3 linked regions of the Callithrix jacchus genome follow. Each later gene encodes a partner of the first gene's protein in a complex. Links are inferred from orthologs where the notes say so. Each region holds a gene or a part of one and is shown in the gene's direction. Other genes may lie near its edges.

Region 1 (5,186 bases):
TTTCTTTAACCCAACTTGCTCTTTTTTTTTTTTTTCTCGAGACAGTCTTGCTCTGTTGCCCAAGGTGGAGTGCAGTGGCACGATCCTGGCTCACTACAACTTGCACCTCCCGGGTTCAAGTGATTATCCACCTCAGCCTCCTAAGTAGCTGGGACTACAGGCATGTACCACCACACTCAGCTGATTTTTCTGTTTTTTTGGTACAGTCTGGGTTTCATCATGTTGGCCAGGCCAGTCTCAAACTCCTCACCTCAAGTCATCTGCCCACCTCAGTGTCTTAAAGTGCTGGGATTACAGGTATGAGCCACTGCACCTGGCTCTTTCATTTGTTTTTATAAGGTCCTTGGACTTTTGCTTTGTGACCTTTTAAGTAAATAATATAATGTTCTTAACTTTTTTCTGCCATAAAGGCAGTTAATAATACGATTTTTTTCAGTAACTTGCCCAATGAATAGGACTTCTTTAGATCATTAACTATATCAAAAAATCTTTCTATAAAGCTATGAAGATAAGTGTTATTACATATTCTTACCTCTATTTAGAAAGTCTTACAAATCCCTTAATATTAATGGTAACATGAAAGTAAAAATTGTGAATGTCATTTAGGTTTATATCATTACTATTTTATGGAGCAGGAGAAGGAAAATCATTTATTCAAGAAATGAGGATAAACTATTGAAAATGTATGTTTTGTCTCAAGTTTAAAATGCAAACTACATGGTTTTTGGTTTGTTTTGGATTCTATTTAGATACACACACGAGTATACCTGCAAACACACTCAGACCTTCCCCCATTTACCCTTTCAGTTCACTGGAGTGATGGAGGATGGAGAAGGGCACTTTGTTCCTTATAATTCTATTGAGGGTATTCTTTCTTTTCTAAATACCCATTTCTAATTCTGCTCAATTTTAGTTTTTTGTTTTCATTGTTGTAGTTTCTCCTCACAGTCCACTTGGCCGAGCTAGTCTCAAACTCTTGACCTCAAGTGATTCACCCGCCTGGGCCTCCCAAAGTGCTGGTATTACAGGCATGAGCCACAGTGCCCGGCCTCACTCCGTCCTTTTCTGTATATTCTTGCTATTCATTTAATATACTTTGGCAGTTTCCACATATACTTGCTTCCTTGTTTCTAATTTCTACGTAATATTTCATTGGTAGATACAATGCATAAACATTACTGAGAAATATTTTTTGTTTTTGCATTTTTGTATCATTTGTCTACAGTTATTAAAAATTAGCTGGGCATGGTAGCACATGCCTGTAATCCCAGAACTTTGGGAAGTGAAGGCAGAAGGATTGTTTGAGCCCAGGAGTTCAAGACCAGGCTAGGAAATATAGTAAGACCCTGTCTGTTTAAAAAATTATTTTTAAAAAGGAAAAAATATAGAACAAAATTAGGCTAACAAAATAGGATTGGTTTTTAAAAATAATTTTTCTCACCTTTAATAAAAGAGATTTTAAAAGGAGTTTTTAAATTTTTCAGATGTTTCCTAAATTTCAAATGCCTTGTCAACCGTTCTTTAGGTAGTAAGTGGAATGGTAACAGGGTTAACCCAACAAAGATAAGCCCAATTCTTGTCTGAGGAACATCAACATTAAAATATTTCTGTGGACACATTTTGTTGTGTTTTTCTCAGGTGAATGCTTGAGATGCATGTTCTGGAACAACCTTGGGTGCATCCATTTTGCCATGAGCAAGCACAATTTGGGATTATTCTACTTTAAAAAGGCTCTGCAGGAGAATGACAATGTCTGTGCACAGCTGAGTGCAGGCAGCACTGATGCAGGTAAGCCCAGTACTGGGGGACAGTTTGTATTTATTACTTCAGAAAAGCGTGATTTAAAAAGCATGAATGTGGTACAAGTACCCACCTTGTAGACTTATAAACAGTTAACTCTGATCTTACCCAACAAGCTTGGCTCTGGGGATTTTTAGTAGATATTGCTGCTTTGAATAGCAATTACAAGGTGTTAAGAGTAATTCTGAATTATCTAGAGATTTAAGTTGCATTCCATTTTTCATGAATTTGAAAATGACTGATTCCCTGTGGTAATATTATATACCAGAATGTTTGATTAGTCACAACATGGCTGTGCCAAACTAGGTTTATTTTATATATATATATATTAAAATATATATAATATACATATATAATAAAAATATATATAATAAAATATATATATAAATATATATATATATTTTTTTTTTTGAGACAGAGTCTAGCTCTGTCACCCAGGCTGGAGTGCAGTGGTGCAATTTCAGCTCATTTTAACTTCTGCCTTCTGGGCTCAAGTGTCCCTCCCACCGCAGCCTCCTGAGTAGCTGGGACTATAGATATGTGCCACTGCACCTGGCTAATTTTTGTGTTTTTTGTAAAGACAGGGTTTTGCATGTTACCTAGGCTGGTCTGGAACTCCTGGGCTCAAGGGATCCTCCTACCTCCGCCTTCCAAAGTGCGGGAATTACAGGTGTGAGCCACTGTGCCCAGTTTATTATAGATTCTTTGCAGAGTTTTGCATGTGATACTGTTGGTTAGCATCTGACAGTCTTTAAGCAAATTCTTAATGTTTATCCTTTAATATTCATTATCATGGGGATCCTTGATCCGAAATGCCTAATATCAAGCAATTATTTAGCTTTTAAAAATAACCTATTTAATGACAAAGGTATTCTAAATCAAAATAGACTGTAACACTGAATAAATAGGTGATAACACATGATAATAAAATTGTTAACCAAAATGAAGGAAAAAAAATTTTTTTTTGAGACCAAGTCTCATTGTGTTGCCCAAGCTGGAGTGCAGTGGCACGATCTTGGCTCACTGTAGCTTCTACCTCCTGGGTTCAAGTGATTCTCCTGCCTCAGCCTCCTGAGGATCTGGGACTACAGGCATGTGCCACCATGCCCACTTAATTTTTGTATTTTTAGTAGAGATTTGGTTCACTATGTTGGCCAGGCTGGTCTTGAACTTCTGACCTTGTAATCTGCCCACCTCGGCCTCCCAAAGTTCTGGGTTTGCAGGCATGAGCCACCATTCCCTGCCGAAAATTTTAAAAAGTGGAAACTTCTTACAGACTCTAAATATGTTAGCTGGGAGAGATGGCTTATGCCTGTAATCCCAATATTTAGGGGAGGCCAAAGTGGATCACTTGAGTCCAGGAGTTCAAGACTAGCCTGAGCGACATACAGAGACCCCATTGCTACAAAAATAAAAGTAAAAATTAAACAATAAAAGAGAATAAAGTAAAAATGTAGAAAAGCAGTATAAGATTCAAAGGAGTGAGAGTGGGTCCTATCTCTTACCTTTGCCTTCCTGGAGCATTGTTACCTGAGTAGCTGGTGAATAAGAAGAGACATCTCTGGCTCTGCCAGCATAAATAACTGAGATGACTGGAAAATATTTGTGGGGTTGAGGATGGAATCCACCATTGGTAACAGCTATAATCAGATTAGGATTATTGGTGTCAAACATGGTAGTGTCTAAGTACTTAATGGAATGAATGTTTTCAAGGTAACTGTTACTAATGATTTATTCTTATCTAATTTTTATCACTAGGCAAAAAATTTTCAGGAAGACCCATGTGTACATTACTAACCAATAAGAGATATGAGCTGCTGTATAACTGTGGAATTCAGCTTCTTCACATTGGAAGGCCTCTTGCTGCCTTCGAATGCCTGATTGAAGCTGTTCAGGTTTATCATGCAAATCCTCGCCTCTGGCTACGGCTGGCTGAATGCTGCATTGCTGCCAATAAGGGGGTGAGTGCTGCTTGGTATCTTTTTGGACCCTATCTTACCTCCACTTACTACGTGGAATGTAAAAAAAAAGAAACTTTGAAACATACATAAGACATCATTCTCTTTTATTTATTTATTTGTATTTTATTTATTTCTTTTTGAGATGGAGTTTCTCTTGTTGCCTAGGCTGGAGTGCAATAGCGCAATCTTGGCTCACTGGAACCTCCGCCTCCCAGGTTCAAGCGATTCGCCTACCTCACTCAGCCTCCCAAATAGCTGGGACTACAGGCATGTGTCACCATGCCTGGCTAATTTTGTATTTTTAGTAGAGACAGGGTTTCACCATGTTCCCCAGGCTGGTTTTAAACTCAGATGATCCACCTACCTTGGCCTCCACTTTCCACTCTCAAAGTGCTGGGATTACAGGTGTGAGCCACAGCACCTGGCCATCATCATTCTCTTTTTAACTATCATTGAATATATAGATGGTCTTCTTTAACCACTGGGAAAAAAATTTAGTTTCAAAAACTCGTTCGTTGGCTGGGCACAATGACTCACGCCTGTAATACAAGTACTTTGGGGGGCCAAGGTGAGTAGATCACTTGAGCTCAGGAGTTCAAGACCAATCTAGGCAACATAGTGAGACCGAGACTTCCATCTCTACAAAAAATTATCTTGGTGTGGCGGTGAGTGCCTGTAGTCCCAGCTAATCAAGAGGCTGAAGTGGGAAGATAGTTTGAGCCCAGGAGGTATAGGTTGAAACTAGACCAGATAGAGCCACTGCACTCCACCCTGGGCAACAGAGTGAGACAATGTCTCAAAAAAATGAAAATGAAAATTTAAAAAGTCATTTGTTAACATTCTCATTCTTGGTAAGTATGGCAACATTAAAGAGTTGAAGCCAGTCAGAAAGTCATGTATGTTGGAACAGTGGCCTGCTAGCTGCTGCAGGGGTCGGGAGCCATGCCATCTGCTGGCGTAAGAATAGTGTTGTGTAGCCTGCTGATCAGAGGTCACAATGTAGGAAGAACTGCATTAAGCTGAGTTTCCTTCAATGCCTGAGGGTTCTACTTTGGTTTCAGTAAATGATACAGAGTTTATGGATTACCAGGCTATTTCGGACACATGATTGCCCGTGGTAGCTATGAAAATAGGCCAGTTTACATTGATGTCTCTGCTTAGATTATCTCCAAATGGCAATTGGTCAAAGCAATTTGAATTTCGGTTTGGGAAGGATCAATAGGAGATAGGGGAAAGATGGATTGTATCAGAATTACCAGATACTTGTATCTTCCATTTGCTACCCATCCCCTGCTCACGCTGTGCTTTTTGGATGTGTATAAATATTGGGAAGGTATGGTACCTGGAGGCTTTACCTTGCATGCCTGCCATAGGTGATACAAATGTTGAGGCTTTCCTCCTGCTGAACAGTTTCAGAGAAGTACA
Region 2 (5,186 bases), on another chromosome or scaffold:
GAAACAGGGTTTCACCAAGGTGCCCAGGCTGGTCTTGAACTCCTGGGCTCAAGCAATTCGTCCACCTCGGCTTCCCAAAGTACTGGTATTATAGGTGTGAGCCACTGTACTCAGCCTGGACTTCTTAAAGGCTTACTTTTTTCTTGTCCTTAAACAAAAAATCAGAGAAACGCAATTTGGGACATTAATCCACCTTCCTCAGTCATCTGAATTGGTTTAAGATTATTTATTGACAGTCCTTCAAAAGGTCTTACATGTGTAATAATTGAATCAAAAATCCCACTGAGCCACTTACATTGTTCAACTAAGCACGGTTAAAGAACTAGAAATGCCTGGCTCAGAGAGTGTTTGATGTTTGGTTGTATAAGATAGGATCAGAGAGAAAGATAAAGGTATAAGTTGGTGGGAAAGAGGCATATATGGGAAGATCAATAGGCTGGCTGGATAGATGGATGGGATGAGAGGATAGAATAGTGTAGGAAGAAAGGATAGCTAGAGATTAAACTAAGGACACACCTTGAGTAGAGAGAATTGAGCTCTTAGTCCAAGTAACAGAATTAACTTCAGTTTTATACATATATTTTACATAATTAATGCTATCCCAATATTGAAAGCAATCAGTAAAAAAGAGTAAGTAACATCACATATAAAATGCCATGTGATCAGCATTAAATACAGAACCAATTGTATTAGTGAGGGGCCGCTGTATCAGTGAGGTGTGAAATTTTGTTTGCTTGGCTTAGCATTTGTTTACTTTCTTGGTCCTTGACCAAGATAGAAATGTAGAAAAGAGATATTTAGAGTTCAGATTCATTTAATTGCAAACTGATTTCGAATGAACTGAAGGGTAAACAATTCGAAGAATTACTCCTTTTTCAACATTACTTTGAGACCAGGTAAGTTTAATAAACAGCTTAATTTAAACCTACTGCTGCTGCTCCTCACCCCACCCTTATCCTCTAATCTGAGGGTGTGCCCAAATCATTTAATTTAAAAAAGGAAGGGCAGCTTTTATAGCAAATAGTAAACTTTTCTGTTACATTATGAAATTGATACTGTAATTTTCTGGCATTCTTTTAAAAAACAAAGAGCGTAATGGTAACAGTATTTTCATTGTGTTTTGACTTTTTTCTCAAATATAGTTCTATAAACTTACACAAATAGTAGTCCTTACTAATGTAAAGAGTGCATTTTCCCACATTAGTATTGTGGCTTTTAAAAAAGAAACTGACTCAAAATGTTAAAAATCGTTAGTCTGTAACCTCCTTTGTGCATATATGATCAAAGTTGGGGATCCTTATATATGCATATGTACAAATATGTTGGGTGAATTCACAGAAGTAACCTGGCTAAGGGTTTTGGTAAGAGTTTTTACTCTGGGTATTTCAAACCAAGAAAATAGTTACAAGTGATATGTTCAATTAAAAACATCTTACTTCCTGGAGTGTTTAACATTTTTATCTTGGAGCCTACTTTTGCAAAGAACTCTAGCAGCTGATGTGTGTGATGGCAGTCTAATAAAGTTGTAAGATAAAGGAGGATTTATTTTGTTTTGTTTAGACAGAGTCTCACTCTGTTGCCCAGGCTGGAGTGCGGTGGCACAATCTCAGTTCACTGCAAAATCCACCTCCCAGGTTCAAGCTGTTCTTGTGCCTTGGCCTCTCTAGGAGCTGGGACTACAGGTGTACACCCCACACTCAGCTAATTTTTGTATTTTTAGTAGAGATGGAGTTTCACCATGTTGACCAGGATGGTAATGAACTCCTGGCCTCAAGTGATCCTCCTGGCCTCCCAAAATGTTGTGATTATAGGCATAAGCCACTGTGCCTGGCCTTACAGGAGGTTTTATTCACCATTAAGTAATTGAGATTATTTCATTTGTTTTATTTTAGAGTTTAAGCAAAAAGTTGTTTGAAAAAAAGTTTCTCAGGGAGAAATAAAACTACCCTGATCCTCATTAACTCATTTTCTAAAATATCACTGTAAAACTAGGCATTATAACCAAAATGAAAAGATAAGGCCTTATGATCCTATCATTTTTTGACTATTTGAGCTTGGAGTCCCCTGGACTCCAGTAAATTCCTTAATTTGTGGCAAAGTAAGGTTGGATAAGGGCTGCTTTCTTTTTTTTTAAGAGACAGAATCTTGTCACCCAGAGGCTGGAAAGCAGTGGCACAGTTATAAGTCAATGTAGCCTAGAACTTCTGGCCTCAAGTGAGCCTCCTGCCTCAGCTTCCCAAGTAGCTTGGACTATAGATGCATGCCACCATGGCTAGGTAATTTTTAATATTTCTGTAAAAACCGGGGTCTCATTATGTTTACCACGCTGGTCTCAAACTCCTGGGCTTAAGTCATCCTCCCACCTCAGCCTTCCAAATGGCTAGGATTACAGGCATGAGACACTGTACCTGAATCTTCTCCCTTAGCAAAGGAACAGTTTTGGTATTTTGATATTGGTCAAATAAAAATCAATCAATAAATTGAAATAATTGTGTCTAAAATCTCACAACATAAAAATTTGTTTTCATTGAAAATTTTTATTTTTTAAGTAGCTCATTTCATTATAATACCATTTAAAGTATTGGCTGGAAATCATCAATAGTATTTGTAAATAGGTTTTTACAGGTGTAGAAATGTTTCTCCCTACTTGGTCTCAGGTTCTCTTGATATGAATAGGAACTAGATAGGAAGATAATTTGATTTTGCTACCATGCATTCACAATCTGGGACAATCATAGCCCTCTGGTTTTGAAACTTACTGATCAAATTATCTAGCTCAGAGAGAAAACTGCTGTGTAAGGCTTCCTGCTGAATGATTTTTGATCAGTTATCCTTATGCTGCAAGGAAATCCAGAATTTACACATATTTGTGAAAATGAGTATTTTAAACTTAGAATAGTTAACTGTGTAATGTTTTGTATATAGGTAGCAAATCTGGGAAAGCTGAACTAGAATTAGCAAATCCATAAACATGGTTTACTACAGGTTCAGTCAGGTGTGTTTAGATATCTTGATATGCAAATAATTAAAGATAATGCTATTAACTATGTGCTTATATAAATATTCTTGTTTACTTATAGCCAATAGGATTAGTACAGGTTCCATTGTATTTATTCTGATATACTAGATTTCACTAAACCAAGCAGGCCAATTCTAAAGATGACTAGACATAATTTAATGAGTTTAGCTTCTCAAATTATCACTTATGCAGGATTGGAAGGATTTATGATTCCAATAGGGTGTTGTTTTCCTATTGAGCCACCTTTATTTCATGAAATACCCCTTGAAGATTTGAGCCTTATTTGACCCACTGTCAAGACAACAGGTACCAGAAGAAAGGGTATTCAGTTTTTTGGTTTTTATAAATTATGGATTGTTATAAACATTTTGAATTTGTCTTTTTTTTTTTTTTCCTACCCCAATCTCTTTCCAGGGCGTGATTGACTACATTTTCTATTCCAAGACTCATATGAACGTGCTTGGTGTCCTGGGGCCTTTAGATCCTCAATGGCTGGTTGAGAACAACATCACTGGGTGTCCACACCCTCACATCCCTTCAGACCACTTCTCACTGTTAACACAACTTGAACTCCACCCTCCACTCCTGCCTCTTGTCAATGGTGTTCACTTGCCTAATCGGAGGTAGTGGAGTACTGCCCCGCCAAGACGGGGATCTGTTGCTATGGACCTGTACAGTTGTAAATCAAAGTATATGGAGTGAAGTATGGCCATCCTTAAGCTGCTTCTTCAGGTTTCTTTCATTATGTGTTTGCTGTAAGACTTTGTACATTTTTGTGCATGTTGGTATCATTTGGCAGTAGGGCTGGAACCAAAGTATTACTCTCTTTCCAAAATTTTAATTTAACATGTTTTTAAATTGGACCTTCTTTATATTGTATTAAGAGCCAGCATTCAGAATTGATAAATTACCAATTTGAGTCCCAACAACAGTGTATGTTTTTCCAAAACAAATACTTTCTTTTGGATGGTTTCAGTGAGCCAACCATTTTTATAAAGGCAATTTTTTAAAACTATAAATATAAGGTTTTAAACTGAATGATGATATGCCTTCCAGGGAAAACCTTCTTGAATTTTTCCTTTATAACAAACTGATTTTTGGATTCCCAAGTCATTTGCACATTAACAGAGCACTTAAATTTGCTTACTCTCTGCATAACTATTATATAGCTTCTATGCATTATAAGAAAATTTGAAATATTAAAGATGGTTGCACAGTATGCTTTCATAAGTATGTAACACCACGTGACAATTTGTTGCCAAATGCTGGTTGGTTGGGGTTTTTTGTAAGGAATCACTTTTGGTTTTTTGTCCCCTCTATTAGTTACAACCTTATTAGAAGTATTAATTCTAAGCCTGTCTCTCAAGTTTATTTATAGAGAAAGGGTAAGTATTCTATATTGCCACACATCTTGAAAATAGAATGCGGTACATTTAGGACGCCCACAGAATGAATTTTTTCTTACTCCACTTCAACCTTCTTTTCTTTCTGTATGGTTGTACTGGAAAAACATGTTATATGACCTGTATCATTTTTGCCATTATAGCCAGACGTTAAAAAGAAGAAAAAAATCTGCTGAATAAAAAGGCCTTGATCAAAGTTTCAGATGGGGAAAACCATACAGATACTTTATGTGTTTCCAATGTAGGTTATGTGGCTGTTGGTTTTTTGAGATGACAGTGCAAAGGATTTGGGGGAGAGAGAGCAAATTTGGGGCAGATGAAAGCCTTGGGTCATTTTCCAGACTCTAGCTGCCAAATGACCATCATATGCTTTTAATCTTTGTTTCTGTTGTCTGTCAGGGTTGAATTAAGAAGCTACTGGTTTATTCCCAACTGTTGATGCCTTTAGATATGTTGGAATCTTTTTTTTTTGCCTAGGAGGGGCCAGTTGAAAATCTGTGACTCAAGAGGCAGTAAACAGAACACTGTTTTCTGGGGAAAAATTGGTTGGCTACTTGATGTTAATTATGGCACAGTAACAGGAAAAGGTTGTGTCTGTGTTTTTAAGTTTTTCTTTATTCTGCTTTTTTGCTGCTATAAGAGTTTTCTGAAATTTATATTTTAAACTTTTCATGCACTTTACTGTTTCTAGTCTCAAAATGTGATATTTTTAATAAACAAGAAATTTTCCATTATGTGAATGAAATTTTAAAAGAAAATAGCCT
Region 3 (5,186 bases), on another chromosome or scaffold:
GTTTGTCTACATGCTTTCTACTTTCTTTGTAGCTACAAAGTATCTGAGGAATAAAGAGAAAATCTAGTCAAACATTAACATGCAAGACCCATTTCAGCATTGTGAAATACAGTATTATAATAGCAGGCAGGTCAGAAAATGTCCAGCCTTGCTAATTGGTGAATAAAATACAAATTAAAATATATTTGTAGAGCCCATCTTGTGCTTAGTAAATTGGGAAAATAATTCACTAGGGATGGGTAAGTTTGCTCTGTGACTAGTTGGTGGTATTCTCTTCCATAGTTGGCAGTATTATAAAGTGGCACATTCAGTCCTAATCTTGGGATTTTATACCAAGTAAATAATTGAGCATAAGCAGAAATCTACACACTAAGATGTTGATTGTGGTATTACCTTTAATTCTTTTTAAAAAGTGGAAACTACCCTGTATTTTACAAAATTAGTAGTAAATATTATCCACCAGCCCAACTGCATTGTGCAGCCATTAAAGAATGATATTTGGGAAGACACATGTTTATAAAGCGAAGTGTAAACTGTTCAATATTCTGTGATTACAATTGTGTAAAAATAGATTTGGACAAGTCCTGGCAAATATAAAAAGTAATGTTTTGGAACCTGGGAATAGTGTGGTTTAAAACTTTTTACTATTACATGATCTTTTAAAATTACTTTTTGTTTATATTTGACAATAAAAAATTTGTCTTCATTGTAGGTGTTGTAGAATATTTGAGCACGGGTGGAGTAGAAACAAATCACAAAGACTTTAAGGAGCTGAGGTATAATGAAAGTCTCACAAACTTCAGCTGTCATGGGAAGAATGGAACCACCAATGGAAGGATCACTCATGGTTTCAAGTTAAAGAGTGCCTACGAGAGTGGTCTGATGCCTTACACGAATTACACATTTGATTTCAAGGTGTGTCTTGAGACTGATAAGTTTTTCAAATCTCTATTTTACTGGCAAGTTTTCTGATGCATTATTATGTTTTTAAAAATGTGGTTGTGTGTTCAGACTGGAATGAAGCAGTCTTGAATTCATTGACAACAATATTGTTTGTTTTATGTTTGAGACAAGGTCTCACTTTGTCAGCCAGGCTGGAGTGCAGTTGCATAATCACGGCATGAAGGCTGAAATGATCCCCTCACCTCGGCCTCCCTAGTAGCTGGGACTATAGGCACACACCACCACGCCTGGCTAATTCTTGTATTTTATGTAGAGATGGAGTCTCACTATGCCCAGGTTGGTCTTGAGCTCCTGGCCTTAAATGATTCTTCCACCTCAGCCTCCCAGAGTTCTGAGATTACAGGCGTGAACCACTGCACTCAGCCAGTAATATTTTTTTATTACTGTTTTTAGAATTTCATGTGATTAGTGTCACAACCTTACTTTGTAGATATTTATTCCAATATTTTCCAGGATAAGAAGTTAGATCAAATAATCTGTAAAATTCCTAAGCTGACTTTTCACCTTTTGGTGACAATTACATTTCTTATATTCTCATTATTAACAGCTAGATATGCTGAACCATGCTATCTAATTTGGGTGGCAGTTGGGGTAAGGTGTTCCTTTTCTTACATTGTAATTTAACTGAAACTAAATTATTTTGAATGTCAAAATGTGGTTATTAGCTGTTTTTAAATGTTTCTAAGATACATCTTTTTTTGCCCCCAGAGACAGTCTTGCTCTGTTGCCCAGCCTGGAGTTCAGTGGCACAATCTTGGCTCACTGCAACCTCCCCCTCCCATATTCCAGTGATTTCTCATGCCTCAGCCTCCTGAGTTGCTGGGATTATGTGTGCACCCCACCACACCCAGCTGATTTTTGTATTTTTAGTAGAGACAGAGTTTCATCATGTTGGGCAGGCTGGTGTCGAACTTCTGGCCTCAAGTGATTTACCCATCTTGGCCTCCCAAAGTGCTGGGATTATAGGCATGAGCCACTGCACCTTGCCAGACTCTAATCATTTTTTTTATTTAGTGCTATGTCACTTTCTTGTGTTTAACTATCCTTTTTTTTTGGCCGGAACGGGGGCTTCTCCATTGTTGCTGTAGATAGGTTTAACTGTCCTTTTTTAAAAAAAAGAGAAAAAGAGATGTCGTTTCAGTCTGTCATCCAGGCTGAAGTACAGTGACATGATCATAACACACTGCAGCCTTGAATTGGGCTGAGGCAATCCTCCTGCCTCAGCCTCCCCACTAACTAGGACTACAGGTGTGTGCCACTGTGCCCAGCTAATTTTTTTTTGTAATTTTGTTTTTTTTTTAAGACAGGGTCCTCCTATATTATCCAGCCTGATCTCGAATCCCTGGCCTTAAGCAATCCTCCTGCCTTAGCCCTCCAAAGGAGGCTAAGATTATAGCCAGGAGCTGGGATTATAGGCAGGAGCTACTGCAACTGGCTCAACTGCCTTTTAAACTACTTTTTGCATTTCTGCTTTCTTAACTCCTAGCTTTCTATTTCTAAGCTGCTGGCAAAGTAATAATTTACATTAGATTGTCAGAGTGTAAATAAGAGTTTTTAGATAGTATCTCTGGAGCTCTTACACTTTAGAGTATAGTAAGTAAAGCCCCTGTTTATCCTCAAGTGCCCCTTCCTTTCAAATTCTTAAGGAGGCATTGAAGAGAAGGCATGGGTGATAGCCAAAGGGTGGGAAAGCTTAGGGTTTTTTTCTCTTTATGTTGCTGATGGAGGCACGAAGAAGACACTTAAATGTGCTTCAGAGTGCATTTGGGCAAGAGCATGTAGAGGAGAGGAGCAGAACCATCAGATGGGAACAGTTTGTTAGATGCCATGCTGGGGTGCTGCTGAGAGAGAAGGGACAGGTAGAGACAGCCCTGCCCTCATGTAGCTGAGATGTGATGAGAGAGACAAGTCTCAAAAATGACACCTTGAGATGGCCATTAGCAAGGGAAGTGAATCAATAGTGAGAAGTAGTAAGTAGGTGGGAGCAGGATTCAGGAAGGTCTTTGGAAAGCAGTTGAACCTGACACTGAAAGATTAAGAAGGAATTAACCTCATAGCAAGTGTTACAGGCAGATTGGAGAGTGACTGAGTGTGTGTGTGTGTGTGTATGTGTGTGTGTGTGTGTGTGTAAGTCCTGAGGCAGGAAAGAGCTTGGTACCTAATATTAAGAAGGAATTGATATCATAACAAGTGTTCCAGGCAGAATGGAGAGAGAGAGAGTGTGTGTGTGTATGTGTGAGTGAGTGAGTGAAGGTCGGGAGGCAGGAAAGAGCTTGGTACCCATAGTTTCCCCTCCCACCCTCACCCCTTTCTCACTCCAAAGGCTAGTGTGGCAGGGAAAGTGGTGCAAATTAGGTTAGGAAAGAGAAGCAGAGGCTACATCCTGAAGGGTCTTAGATCTTGTTAAAGATCCAGGTAGGGAGAATGCTTCATTCTGCTGGATTTGACATTTTGTGGGAGGAACCATTTGGTGTATGTAGTACAGATCTCATCCTACAAGCTAATAAGTTTCACTTGTTTAGTTCTGTTCACCAAACATGACTGTAAAGACATGTCTTGAAAGCACTCAGAATTTTCCTGTTGTCTTATGTGGTGCTTATATCTTTCTTTCTGTTGTTTTTCAGGGTATAATCGACTACATTTTCTATTCTCAACCTCAGCTGAACACCTTAGGCATTCTGGGCCCTCTGGACCACCACTGGCTGGTTGAGAATAACATCAGTGGCTGCCCACACCCCCTCATCCCCTCTGACCACTTCTCACTTTTTGCACAACTGGAGCTCTTACTGCCGTTCCTGCCCCAAGTCAATGGCATCCACCTTCCTGGCAGGAGGTAGTCAAGCACCTTCAGAGGACAGCCTCGATTCACTTGTAAACTTGGGAAAATCTGAACATAGGGGAGTGAGGTATGGCCACTGAGGGTTTTTGTTTGCTTAAGAATGATTTGAATTTTCAATCTGATTATTTGATAAGGATATAGTATGAAAGCCAGGTGCTAGCAACAGACAAATTCTGAGCCCAATATGCTTTATACTGCTAGACAGGGATTGGTGTGTTTGCACCTATCTTTAATTTGTTATAAGAAATTTTCCTATTTCCTCTATCCAATATAATATTTTCATGCCTTGAAATAGGAAAATGTTTGAAGAGCATATTCTCTTTGCACAGAAATCTGTAGCACTACTTTTTTGAGGCCAGTAGTAACATCCAGAGACCATTCTTCCATACTTTACTCCCTCCTTTTTCAGACTTGTTTGTAAAATATAGAATTTGAATTTAGCCTTTATGATTGTATATGATCCACAGAAGACCTGATTTATGAAATTTTGTACTAAAAAAAAAATCATTTGGAAATGATTGTATTGTAAACTAAGGCTAAATTTTTTTTTAAACCTGTTTCATGTGTTATAAAGGCCAGCTTGTAAAAGAAGCTGCAACAGACTTTCTCTGCTCATGATTTGCACTCTTAGGGTTTTGTTAGCCCTTTTGTACTACTTTATTTTTAAATTGAGAACATGGTTCTTTAAATATAAATCTGCTTAAACCTTAGGATGTTTTCAGACCCGAGGCAACTTATTCATGAATTTTTACGAAAACATCTACCAGGACAGATAAGCTGAACAGTGATGATCTGTAGGCATTTATGGACTGAATGTAATGGTTGATATATGTACATTCTGATATTTTTAAGTCTTTAACTTTTTTAAGTTAAAAAACTACAGCTGCTTAGGTACAGCTTAACTCCTTTTTGAGATACTTCCTGTCCTATCTCCACTGTGCCTGCCTAAATTTGTTCTCACCAAGCACTGCCTGTGCATGCAGAGAAAATCTGTGCATCCTCTTTTATATTTTTAAAATACTGTTTAACATTTGTGAGAATTTTATGAAAATGCTTTTGTATGAGCTGTGGCTTTTTTTCCATTATGAAGCATCAAATATCGCATTTTGGAACATGTTTATAGGGTGGGTCCCTGGATCTTTGCTCACCAGATCCAAGCACTGCTTCTTGGTGTCATTGCAGTGTACTGCTTGTCACCCAGAGTACTACTATCATGTGAATTCTTTTTGTTGTCCGTGTATTCCTTAGTCTTTTTTTTTTTAATCATTCCTTATTTAAGAAGAAGTAATTTTCCATTTATGAAGCAGTATAAATTAGATGCATTTTCAAAACAGGTCCCTAAGACAATTGTTCAGATCATTTTTAAAATGACTAAGTCATTTTA

The links. The genes of interacting proteins can lie anywhere in the genome.
Region 2: CNOT10 (region 1) and CNOT6L share a complex: the UniProt entries of both Homo sapiens proteins name them as parts of the CCR4-NOT complex. The link is inferred for Callithrix jacchus from reciprocal best matches to the Homo sapiens genes CNOT10 and CNOT6L.
Region 3: CNOT10 (region 1) and CNOT6 share a complex: the UniProt entries of both Homo sapiens proteins name them as parts of the CCR4-NOT complex. The link is inferred for Callithrix jacchus from reciprocal best matches to the Homo sapiens genes CNOT10 and CNOT6.

What each region holds. Positions count from the first base shown.
Region 1 is NC_133518.1:70,904,306-70,909,491, forward strand, and holds part of CNOT10 (CCR4-NOT transcription complex subunit 10), read left to right. Parts: intron 1-1,638; coding exon 1,639-1,788; intron 1,789-3,305; coding exon of another isoform or gene 3,306-3,440; intron 3,441-3,558; coding exon 3,559-3,761; intron 3,762-5,186. Other genes in the region: small ribosomal subunit protein uS19-like, read right to left, coding at 3,306-3,440. UniProt on the Homo sapiens protein: Component of the CCR4-NOT complex which is one of the major cellular mRNA deadenylases and is linked to various cellular processes including bulk mRNA degradation, miRNA-mediated repression, translational repression during translational initiation and general transcription regulation.
Region 2 is NC_133504.1:120,306,873-120,312,058, forward strand, and holds part of CNOT6L (CCR4-NOT transcription complex subunit 6-like), read left to right. Parts: intron 1-3,433; coding exon 3,434-3,646; 3' UTR 3,647-5,186. UniProt on the Homo sapiens protein: Has 3'-5' poly(A) exoribonuclease activity for synthetic poly(A) RNA substrate.
Region 3 is NC_133503.1:72,315,279-72,320,464, forward strand, and holds part of CNOT6 (CCR4-NOT transcription complex subunit 6), read left to right. Parts: intron 1-712; coding exon 713-915; intron 916-3,587; coding exon 3,588-3,800; 3' UTR 3,801-5,186. UniProt on the Homo sapiens protein: Poly(A) nuclease with 3'-5' RNase activity.